3 linked regions of the Xenopus tropicalis genome follow. The protein of the gene in region 3 interacts with the protein of the main gene of each other region in a biochemical or structural test. Links are inferred from orthologs where the notes say so. Each region holds a gene or a part of one and is shown on either strand. Other genes may lie near its edges. The genes, in order: unc119, tbcd and arl2.

Region 1 (3,650 bases), on a different chromosome or scaffold from region 3:
TGTAGCACCTTACTAGAATCAGAGCTTTTCAGAAATGTGTATTTTATATTATTATATATAATATATTATTTTGATATTTTATTTGGCAGTGGGCAGTAACCCATGGCAGCAAATAAGATGTTTGCTTTCAACCTGCAGCTGCCCAGTGTTTATAAATGAGCACCCAATATTTTCAACCCGCCTGGCACCCAGAATTTCCAGGCTGACACACTGCTGAGAAGGGAGTTCTACTCACAATGATCAGGATTGTAACTGTTGTAACACTTGACCTATAGGCTTAATTTGGGACTTTATGCAATGCAATGAAGTGAGTCATAAATCCTTGAATTAGAAGATACAGGGTTGTTACAGAAATAGTTTTCCATTGTAGTCATAGCAATCATTGCTAACTGATGGGTTTGGGTATATTACCGTTCCAAGAGGGACTTATGCACATATTCCTTGTCTGTTAAGTAGCAGGCTGGATTTGTTTTCCTTTTGTCTGAATGTACCATTGGATGTTTGTTGGGAACTTAAAGCTGGTCATATGCAGAAAGGTCCACTCGTTTGGTGAGGACTCTATACAAGTGGACCAATCTAAGCGCATATGCACTTCTCACCCTGATCATCATCTGGCTGCTTATTGTTTGGGCAGGCCTGTCTGAAGGCCCCGGGCACTGCTGATAAGCTGCCCACTCCGTGACCGTCAGCAGCTTTTATCTGCCCATGTAAGGCCACCTTAACCTGCTGTTGGGATATACTGATGGTGTTAAATAACCAGGCACAGATTGCTTTTACAGATTAACCAAACCCGCCAGAAAGCTGCGCTTCTAAAGCTGTGTTAAAGGGGTTGTTTAGCTTTATTTTAAAGGAACAGTAACACCAAAAAATGAAAGAGCTTTAAAGTAATGAAAATATAATGCACTGTTGCCCTGCACTGGTAAAATTGGTGTGTTTGCTACAGTAACCCTACTATAATTTATATAATAAGCTGCTGTGTAGCCCCGGGGGCAGCCATTCAAGCTGGAAAAAAGGAGAAAAGGCACAGGTTACATAGCAGATATGTTATGTAACATAACAGATAAGTTCTGTAGAATACAATAGTGTTTTATCTGTTATCTGCTATGTGCCTGTGCCTTTTCTCCTTTGAATGGCTGCCTCCATGGCTACACAGCAGCTTATTTATATAAATTATAGTAGACTTTCTGAAGTAAACACACAACTTTTACCAGTGCAGGGCAGCAGCACATTATATTTTAGTTACTTTTATACACTTTCATTTTTTGGTGTTACTGTTCCTTTAACTTTTACTATGATTTAGACAATGATTAGATATTCTGAGACAACTTGCAGTTGGTCTTCATTTTTTATAGTTTTTTTTGGTCATTTAGCTTTTGGTTAGCAATTTGGTATTTTAGCAGCCATCTGGTTGCCAGGATCTTATTTTCCCTAGCAACCAGGCAGTGGTTTGAATAAAACTAGAATAAGTACAGGTGATTGAATAGAAAGATAAGTAATAAAATTGTAGCTTTGCAGAGCAGTAGTTTTTTACCTGCAGTGACCACCCAATTGAAAGCTGGGTAGAGGTAGTAGAGAAAGGCAAATAACCCAAAAACCATTAAAGATAAATAATGAAGACCAGTTGCAAAGTTGCTAGGTATAGGACATTCTATAACAGTGATCCCCAAACAGTGGCTTGTGGGCAACATGTTGCTTACCAACCCCTTGGATCCTTGCAATGTTGTGGCAAGCTAAATTCCCTTATATAGCATTTCATTAGATAGCACATTTTATGTTTTAGAACGTGACCACGGCGATAAAAAGGATGCTGATCCTAATGCTGGCAGATTTGTCCGATACCAGTTCACTCCAGCTTTCCTGCGACTGCGCCAAGTAGGAGCAACGTAAGTGCCTAGAAAGATCACTCTTATAAGCAAATGCTTGCTCTTCTGCTATGAGAGAATTTGCAAGTAGGTTCAGGTAATGTAAATACAAACTATGTGCGATAGTTGTTTTCATTTCCTTTATGGCTTAACTAAGAACATGCAGTTCTGCACATGAAAATCAGTATATTAATCTAAGTATGAGGAGAGAATAAATAAAAATGGAACATTTATGCAATGGTTTGCATGTAAATTAGAGTTCAACTTTTATGGATAATATATTTCATTCTCCATAATGGCACTAGCTATGAAAATAGTGTTACATACAACAGACTCATATTGTGCTTAATGTGAAAGTCTGCCTGGGCCACATGAGGTTGGAGGCACCAACGAGTATTTTACTTCAACTGGTCCTGGGCCAGGCAGGGGTATAAGTATAGTGAGAGCATTGCATAACAACTCTGTCATTAAATGTACTTGCTCCTTCCTATAGTTGCTCTGGGCACCACTCCTTTCTGTCTTCTGTTTGGAATCGTGTGCCGCAGCACCTACTAACGCATGGGTACTCTGGAGCTACTGCCACCTCTGGACCAGGAGGTAGCTCCAGGGTTCCCCTCGTGCCCTCTGTCAATTGCCACAGCACAGTTGTGCTAAAGGAATAGGGCACACACGTCATGGCAAACACCAGAAATGATGCCCGAGAACACCAGATGACAGGCAGGCTTAGAAAATACTTGTCTCGGTTGCAACCCTTATGCAACAGACACAGTTGTGTCCATTATTACAAAAGAATGTAGTTGCATTGTGTATTATATGCTGTGTTACGAGATCCACTGGTTTTAGAAAAAGAACATTTGCATTGTGGCTCAAAACTGCACTTTACTCACTGCACTTGTTGACATAAATGAGCCCTTTTGTGTAGCAGCCTCTGACTGATCACAAAGTCTGCGTTACTGAAGCAAACATGTATCTTTTATATTTATGTATGTATATATTTTATTGCAGAGTTGAATTCACAGTTGGTGATAAGCCCATTAATAACTTCCGCATGATTGAACGGCATTATTTTCGTGAGCAGCTATTAAAAAGCTTCGATTTTGAATTTGGCTTCTGTATCCCCAGCAGTAAAAACACTTGCGAACATATCTATGAATTTCCACAGCTCTCTGAGGATCTAAGTAAGTTATTTCTCTACGTAAGTATTTAGAAATATATCTGTTCCTCTCTGTGGTTATATTTTATTTCATATAACAAATGCAGTCTGATTCTCCGTGAATCAGTGCAGATTTCAACTTCAAAATAGGCCCTGGCATTTCAAGTACACAGAGGCCCAAACAGCCCCCCACCAGCCCAATAAATAGTGACTGTCTATGGCATCTTACAGCAGCCCCTCTGGCATTTGCCAGAACCCACAGATTGCCAGAATTTGTGTAATTTTCCAACCTTCATAAGATGTCAACTGAGAACTCCATTCTCACTGTATTTTCATAAGCCTGAATAAATATTGAGGGAAAATGCCTGCCAGCTGTTTGGTTATTCTTTTAGGGTGAATAGGCAATAGAACTTGGCATGTAAGGCTGACATATCCACCATTTGTGTGCAAGCTTCTACCCTGAGACTGTAAGATAAAGAATTAGATGGCTTAAAGTACATTTTTGCCAAATAAATCTGTACTCATAATATTCTGTAACATTCTGGCAATGGAAGGTCCATTTTGTTTGAGATTGATGTTTAATAAATATTGCAAAATAAAAATCTTGTTTCCCCTTTTTTTTCTCATTCTATTTT
Region 2 (4,357 bases), on a different chromosome or scaffold from region 3:
ATATATTTGGGGGGTTCCTGTCAGATACTGGGGCACAGACCTGCCATATATTTGGGGGGTTCCTGTCAGATACTGGGGCACAGAAATTCCATTTATTTGGGGGGTTCCTGTCAGATACTGGGGCACAGACCTGCCATATATTTGGGGGGGTCTGACAGATACTGGGGCACAGACCTGCCATATATTTGGGGGGGGTCTGACAGATACTGGGGCACAGACCTGCCATATATTTGGGGGGGGTCTGACAGATACTGGGGCACAGACCTGCCATATATTTGGGGGGGGTCTGACAGATACTGGGGCACAGACCTGCCATATATTTGGGGGTTCCTGTCAGATACTGGGGCACAGACCTGCCATATATTTGGGGGTTCCTGTCAGATACTGGGGCACAGACCTGCCATATATTTGGGGGGGGGTCTGACAGATACTGGGGCACAGACCTGCCATATATTTGGGGGGGGTCTGACAGATACTGGGGCACAGACCTGCCATATATTTGGGGGGGGTCTGACAGATACTGGGGCACAGACCTGCCATATATTTGGTGGGTTCCTGTCAGATACTGGGGCACAGACCTGCCATATATTTGGGGGGTTCCTGTCAGATACTGGGGCACAGACCTGCCATATATTTGGGGGGGGGTCTGACAGATACTGGGGCACAGACCTGCCATATATTTGGGGGGGGTCTGACAGATACTGGGGCACAGACCTGCCATATATTTGGGGGGTTCCTGTCAGATACTGGGGCACAGACCTGCCATATATTTGGGGGGGGTCTGACAGATACTGGGGCACAGACCTGCCATATATTTGGGGGGGGGTCTGACAGATACTGGGGCACAGACCTGCCATATATTTGGGGGGTTCCTGTCAGATACTGGGGCACAGACCTGCCATATATTTGGGGGGTTCCTGACAGATACTGGGGCACAGACCTGCCATATATTTGGGGGGGGTCTGACAGATACTGGGGCACAGACCTGCCATATATTTGGGGGGGGTCTGACAGATACTGGGGCACAGACCTGCCATATATTTGGGGGGGGTCTGACAGATACTGGGGCACAGACCTGCCATATATTTGGTGGGTTCCTGTCAGATACTGGGGCACAGACCTGCCATATATTTGGTGGGTTCCTGTCAGATACTGGGGCACAGACCTGCCATATATTTGGGGGGGTCTGACAGATACTGGGGCACAGACCTGCCATATATTTGGGGGGGGTCTGACAGATACTGGGGCACAGACCTGCCATATATTTGGGGGGGGTCTGACAGATACTGGGGCACAGACCTGCCATATATTTGGTGGGTTCCTGACAGATACTGGGGCACAGACCTGCCATATATTTGGGGGGTTCCTGTCAGATACTGGGGCACAGACCTGCCATATATTTGGGGGGTTCCTGTCAGATACTGGGGCACAGACCTGCCATATATTTGGGGGGTTCCTGTCAGATACTGGGGCACAGAAATTCCATTTATTTGGGGGGGTCTGACAGATACTGGGGCACAGACCTGCCATATATTTGGGGGGGGTCTGACAGATACTGGGGCACAGACCTGCCATATATTTGGGGGGTTCCTGTCAGATACTGGGGCACAGACCTGCCATATATTTGGGGGTTCCTGTCAGATACTGGGGCACAGACCTGCCATATATTTGGGGGGTTCCTGTCAGATACTGGGGCACAGAAATTCCATTTATTTGGGGGGTTCCTGTCAGATACTGGGGCACAGACCTGCCATATATTTGGGGGGGGTCTGACAGATACTGGGGCACAGACCTGCCATATATTTGGGGGGGGTCTGACAGATACTGGGGCACAGACCTGCCATATATTTGGGGGGGGTCTGACAGATACTGGGGCACAGACCTGCCATATATTTGGGGGGGGTCTGACAGATACTGGGGCACAGACCTGCCATATATTTGGGGGGTTCCTGTCAGATACTGGGGCACAGACCTGCCATATATTTGGGGGGTTCCTGTCAGATACTGGGGCACAGACCTGCCATATATTTGGGGGGTTCCTGTCAGATACTGGGGCACAGACCTGCCATATATTTGGGGGTTCCTGTCAGATACTGGGGCACAGAAATTCCATTTATTTGGGGGGGTCTGACAGATACTGGGGCACAGACCTGCCATATATTTGGGGGGGTCTGACAGATACTGGGGCACAGACCTGCCATATATTTGGGGGGGGTCTGACAGATACTGGGGCACAGACCTGCCATATATTTGGGGGGTTCCTGTCAGATACTGGGGCACAGACCTGCCATATATTTGGGGGGTTCCTGTCAGATACTGGGGCACAGACCTGCCATATATTTGGGGGGTTCCTGTCAGATACTGGGGCACAGAAATTCCATTTATTTGGGGGGGGTCTGACAGATACTGGGGCACTGATTTTACATTCATTTGGAGGGAGGGTTGTGACACACACTGGGGCACAGAGCTGCCATATATCTGACACACACTGGGGCACAGAGCTGCCATATATCTGACACACACTGGGGCACAGAGCTGCCATATATCTGACACACACTGGGGCACAGACTGGGCTTCCTGTCACTATTCTGTCAGACACAGCCCTGTCACATTACACAGCGGAGGGCCATGTGAAACAATGAGTACTGAGGGAGAGCAGAGACCAATCAGCTAACAGAAAGCGTTGGGGTGTTGGGGAGCAGAGAGCAGTAGGGTTGCGCTACGGGGGCCCGCAGAAGTCAAACCAAATCCCCTCACACACTAACATTACACACCCGAACAGTAAATTACTCACTGTACGAAGCTGCAGCTTCCGGGGCCCTCCCACGTGATCCAGCCGCTCGGCCCCGCCCAACCCAGTAACTATGACAAAAAGGCTACTGTGCAAACTACGGGTCCCGGAGAGGGACAAAATGAGAGTGAATGCAAGCACAGAGCAAGGCGTGTATCGCTCTACCTACACCATTCTCCCATCGGGTGGTGTGTGTGGCATCTCAGTGTTACCCACAGCCCTGTGTGTTGGCCCTCCTACTACTATATAAAGCAAAGTTCATGCTTGTTATACTGTAGTTGTGAGTAAAGGAGATGCTGGGAGTTGTAGTTCTGTAGATGGATGTCAGACGTGGTTAAAAATGGATCTTTATTTACAGCTTTTGTTAAAACACCCAGGATGAGGCTGGGGTGTGCAGGGCCCATCAGACCTGGTTTAATCTGACCTTTATTTACAGATTTTTGTTTTTTTCTAACTCCCAGTGTGAGGCTGGGGTGCTGCAGGGCCCTGTCAGTCTGGAGAATGCATACATTATACTATCTTCAGCCTGATCAGGGGAGACCAATAGGAAGCACCAGTGGGGATCAGGTGGGGGTAGGTGAGCCCCCAGGTATTGTACTGATGCCCCGCCAGCCCAACACTAAAACACCCACATACAGGCCCAGACTGGCAATCTGTGGCTTCTGGCAAATGCCAGTAACATGCCATAGTCACTATTTAGTGGGGGGGTTTTACATCCCAGTCCAAACCTGCCCCACCGGTGCCAGAAAGATAGTGGATCTGCCATATAGTTCTGCTGTGTGCCCCCTATTACCATATAACAAAGGGAATTTTTACACTTGGGACAAAATGCTCTGCTATATAGGTGCCCATGTCCCTTTCTTTTTCTCTTCCTTCTTACCCCCCTCTTCAGCTTTCCTCCTTTTAGAGCCACACTGGAATATAAACAACTCCCCCCCCCCAAATCCTGGGGGAAGCTTATAGGAGGACTAAAGTCACAATCACCGGGTGGTGCCAAATGCCAAACATAAGGCTCCCCACCTCCCCCCCTTAACAAAGTCAATGTACATGGATACAAATTTTTGGGGTGCTGCATGGTATCATGGGCATTACACTGGCCAACCCCTTCCCCAGCCCTTTATTCCTGCCCGCTGGCCTCCTTATACCCATAGCCCTTGCTTCTCCATTAGCAAACTTCATATTGGCAATGTCTCCTTCAATATATCTTTAATGGTGTTTAAAGCCTTTGCCATCAGTAAAGGGTTAAAACCCTCTGCCCCCTCCCTTTCCCATAGCACAGTCTCTGTCCCCCATAGCAGTGTTGCCCCCTGTGCTTTCTCCAAGTTCTGCAGGACCCCCCGACCATTGCCTTTGCCAGTTGGGCACAGTCCCTCTCTAGTTGCTTCCTGGCAGCAGCCTTGCTTTTTGGCTTTGCAGCAGTTTGTAGCTGCTCTGGGAGGGGGGGGGGCAGTAAGTATCAGTTGGTTTGGGGAGATCTTGCCCCCCCCTGCAGATTCTCTCCAGACCCCTCCCCCATCCTCCCTTCTAATTGGCTGCACCTGCAGCTAGGGGTGACACCTTTTGTGG
Region 3 (4,448 bases):
TACTGCAGACCTTAGATCACCCCTATCTACTGCTGACATATGTTCAAGAAAGCGTATGCCTGCCCCCCGGATAGTCTTGCCCACATATTGGGCTCCACACTCACATGTGGCTAGATATACCACCCCTTTGGTCTGACAATTAAAGTATTGGGGAATCTGGTAGACACACCCTGTATTGGAGCTCCTGAAGGATTTGGATACCCCAATTAGAGTACAAGCTTTACATCTCCTTCTACCGCATTTATATGTACCCTTATAGCGCATCCATGTCGCCCCCTGTTTATAAGTCTCAGTGGAGTATAGACTTTTAGAAATCCATGAGGCTAAATTTCTACCCCTTTTAAAAACAAATCGGGGTGTCTCATCCAAGACCTTACACAGATCTGCATCTTGTAAAAGGACCGCCCAGTGTTTGCGGACACTTCTTTGTATTTCTGCAACTCCCTTGCCATAAGTAAGGCAAAACCTAGTATTGGACTTATGATTATATTTGGCCTTACCCCTTGGGCATGCCTTATCCTGAGATGCACTATTGAGTAAATCGGACCTACTGGTGGCAACTGCCCTCTCATAGGCTATTTTGATGGTTTCCGTGTCATAACCTCTCTGTACAAATCTGTCCCACAGTTGCATGGCCTGTTTGTGAAAGGAATCCCAAGAGGAACATATGCGTCTAAGATGCAGAAACTGTCCCACTGGGATTCCTCGCACACAATTCCGGGGGTGCCCGCTGTCTGCATGTAAGAGTGTATTGCGTGTTATAGGTTTACGGTATAAATCTGTTGCTATTCGGTTGTTTTGTACAAAAAATACTATATCCAGGAAGGGGATCACATCCCTGTTTGTTTCGTAAGTAAACTTAATACCTTCAATGGCCAGATTACAATATTCAACAAAACGCTGCAAGGAAAACTCATCCCCATCCCATACCCCAATGCAGTCATCTAATAATAGCTGCTGACTTGACCCCACCAAGAGTCTGCAGGTTATCGGCCAGTGTATGTGGTCAAACCAACAGCCTGGCTGGATATTCATCATAAATGTACCACGATGCAAGATATGACCATTCAACAATACAAACATTGGCTCCTGATAAAAATGCAGAGGCTCAGGGTACATTTCTTACTGAGTATTGTGCCGTTTGTGCCACCACCCATACCCATGAACCCTTGAAGCTGTCTAGGACTGGTGCCCATGCATTGAACGGTTAACAATTCTACCATCACCCCATCTTCCCAGGCCCGGTGCCTTGGGGTTATCCTTGATTCTGCCCTGTCCTTCACCCCTCATATCCAATCACTTATCAAATCATGTCACTTTCACCTAAGAAATATCTCCAAAATCCGATCATTTATCACCCAAGATGCTGCCAAAATTCTTATTCACCCTCTTATAATATCTCGCCTGGACTACTGTAACTCCCTATTAATTGGCCTTCCCCTCCAAAGACTGTCCCCTCTCCAGTCCATAATGAATACTGCTGCCAGGCTCATACACCTCTCCAACCGCTCCTCCTCTGCCGTGCCGCTTTGCCAATCCCTGCACTGGCTTCCCCTACCATCCAGGATAAAATTCAAGCTATTGACCCTCACATTTAAAGCAGTTCATAACTCTGCCCCACCCTACATCTCTGAACTCATCTCTAGGTACCATCCAACCCGCTTGTTACGCTCCTCTACTGACCTGCTCCTCAACTCCTCTCTCATTCCCTCCTCACACGCTCGCATTCAAGACTTTGCAAGGGCTGCCCCCCTTCTCTGGAATTCGCTCCCACAAACTGTCAGACTTTCTACCAATCTCTCTGCCTTCAAGAAATCTCTAAAAACACATTTATTTAGAGAGGCTTACCCTAATCTAGTTTAGCAATACCCTGTGCCCCACCTCTCACAACTCTGGTCATGCCCATTCCCACACCTTGTGTCTCAACCCTTTCTCCTTGTAGATTGTAAGCTCTTTTGGGCAGGGCCCTCTTCACCTCTTGTATCGGTTATTGATTGCTTTATATGTTACTCTGTATGTCCAATGTATGAAACCCACTTATTGTACAGCGCTGCGGAATATGTTGGCGCTTTATAAATAAATGTTAATGTAATGTAATGTAATGAACTAAAACTGCCATATCTACCAGAGCAGAACAGCTGCAAGGGATTTGAGACAAGCAGCAAAGATGGAAGAGCGCAGCTCATTGAAAAAGTGCATTAGGCTGGTGTGCTTTTTCTCTTTTTTTTTTACAGAAAATTAGAGAGAGACTAACTGGGTTAAAATATATATATGGGGGGGGGGGGGGGGGGGGGGTTAACAAATTGGCATCCTCCAGTGAATTTCAATTTTCTTTTTAGGTTTAAAATGGTGCCCAAAATGTACACTTTTGTGTACAGAAAAACGTGGGTTTCTACGATTAAATATTAATGACACGTTGTTATAGTACATTATAGTACATTTTGGCACTCACCTCAATATGAGAATGGCCAGACACAAGTGCATAAAGGAATGCCCAGCGCAGTTATATTCTGGAATATACTGTGGCCCCATACAAAGTGCTCAGCAGGTCAGGGGCACCTAAACCACACCCTAGTTATATTAGTGCAACTAAACACACCATGCTTTATATAACTAATGTTCTGCCCCCACCTACCAAACTGACCAGTCACCCCGCCATTTAAGACGCTACATAAGACAAGCATTACACGGTGTAACATGAAATATTGTCCGATCCCTACTTTGCTCTTACACAGCCATAAAGACAGTAGCCACATGTAGCAATGTATGTGCTTTCTCAAGTCGGGCCCTAACATAATAGCTCAATAGTTCCCGCCGCGATACACCAAGGTGTGGATACAGCATGAGTAGCCGAACCTCCCGCTCCTTCTGCTTCATTTTCTTAAGAATAGTTAGTAAGCCCATGATGCTCAGACGCTTTCTCCTTGCCCAGGTCTCCTGTCAGAACTGCCGACCAATCAGATACGACGTTCTTCAACTTCCGCCCCTGCTATTGGTATTTGCGTAGGTCTGCGTAGGCCAATGAACGCCATCTAACCGTGTCGCTATGGAAACAAAGCATTCATTTTTTTTTTTGTCAACAACTTTAATTATACCGACATGACAAAACGTGTCATATGTATATGCTAATACTATGTGAGGTAATAAATATATATAACAATTATTCGTAATCCACATTCTCTAATTTAAAAGATACCACTTTTTTACAATAAAAAAATAAATGAATTGTAATGAAAAGATAAAGATATTTGGCATATAATTTCGGGTATCTGCGAGTTCTCATTGGTGGATGGTTGTCAAGGTGACGTTGCGTCGCATGCGTGCGGCGGGTCAAGGTGGCCATCTTTTGTGTGTCTAAGTCTACCCAAAGGTGCCGGTGAGTAAAAGCAGCAAACTGAGAAAGCAGATGGGCGTATAGAGGGACAAAACAGATAGGGCAGGCAATGAGACGGATAATATACATTTATAAAGGAGGCGATTAGCTTGCCGTGGTGGTAAATATAAACATGATTTAATATAAATAGGTGATGTGAAGACGGAGACAGAGCTGAAATCATTCATAAGAACAAGAACCATAAAATGGAACCCTGATGACAGGAATGCAGATAGATTGTTAAAATAATGGGAAACGACTGATGCTGAAATACCGAAAGTGGAATTATATTTAACAGCAGAAAATTGGGTTTAGGGGCCAAAAATGAACAAAGGCTGAAATCTGATAAGGAATGTGTAGTGAAAGGAGGCTGAACCGAGTGTAACAGTGAGAGGGGTGGGAGCAATGGGGAAATGTGGGACCCCAGTCTGAGGGAGCTGGATTCATAGAAAAAAGGAATGCCCAGAACTTCCACCCTTTAAGATGTTTTTCAGGTGCTGGTTGGATATCCCTGATACCTTCACATAGTGTTTGCCACCTGCTATCAACCACACAGGCTTGTGTTGCTATAGCTCTCTGGTTCTGTACAAAAAACAAGAAAAAAACTAGACAAATATATTAATGTGCCTCAGCACTTTCCCAGTGTCCCTAAAATGTCAGTGAGTGATGAACATTAAATTCAGCAATGTTTCTGCAATAATAAACATCTGTGATCACAGTTTATAAAATGGTAATGTCATGGGTTAATTCCTACGTTAGTACAGTTATACTGGATTTAATAATTACTGACATTACAGTGTCTTACTGACTATTCTTCAGAAATAAGGGAGACAAAAGGAGCAACGTAATCCTGAGATCACAGTGTGAAAGTAACAAATGCAAAATTATATTCAAATAATTGTTAAATGTGCAGACAGCCCATAACTAGCAAATATACTGACTACAAGATATTTGCCTATCTATATATTTACTATATATTTATTATTTTTATTGAATCAAGGCAGCTGAGAAATCCATCTTTTCATTGCTGTTCATGGATGTAATACTGTAATACCATAGTCAGACCCAGACTGGC

Evidence for each region.
Region 1: the proteins of arl2 (region 3) and unc119 form a complex in vitro, tested with the Homo sapiens proteins (2 studies listed by BioGRID and IntAct, with this or other methods). The link is inferred for Xenopus tropicalis from reciprocal best matches to the Homo sapiens genes ARL2 and UNC119.
Region 2: the proteins of arl2 (region 3) and tbcd form a complex in vitro, tested with the Homo sapiens proteins (2 studies listed by BioGRID and IntAct). The link is inferred for Xenopus tropicalis from reciprocal best matches to the Homo sapiens genes ARL2 and TBCD.

The regions. Positions count from the first base shown.
Region 1 is NC_030678.2:34,705,671-34,709,320, forward strand, and holds part of unc119 (protein unc-119 homolog A), read left to right. Parts: intron 1-1,780; coding exon 1,781-1,883; intron 1,884-2,867; coding exon 2,868-3,040; intron 3,041-3,650. UniProt on the Homo sapiens protein: Involved in synaptic functions in photoreceptor cells, the signal transduction in immune cells as a Src family kinase activator, endosome recycling, the uptake of bacteria and endocytosis, protein trafficking in sensory neurons and as lipid-binding chaperone with specificity for a diverse subset of myristoylated proteins.
Region 2 is NC_030686.2:48,127,978-48,132,334, reverse strand, and holds the start of tbcd (tubulin-specific chaperone D), read right to left. Parts: upstream 2,864-4,357; 5' UTR 2,795-2,863; intron 1-2,794.
Region 3 is NC_030680.2:32,599,289-32,603,736, forward strand, and holds the start of arl2 (ADP-ribosylation factor-like protein 2), read right to left. Parts: upstream 2,951-4,448; 5' UTR 2,905-2,950; coding exon 2,840-2,904; intron 1-2,839. UniProt on the Homo sapiens protein: Small GTP-binding protein which cycles between an inactive GDP-bound and an active GTP-bound form, and the rate of cycling is regulated by guanine nucleotide exchange factors (GEF) and GTPase-activating proteins (GAP).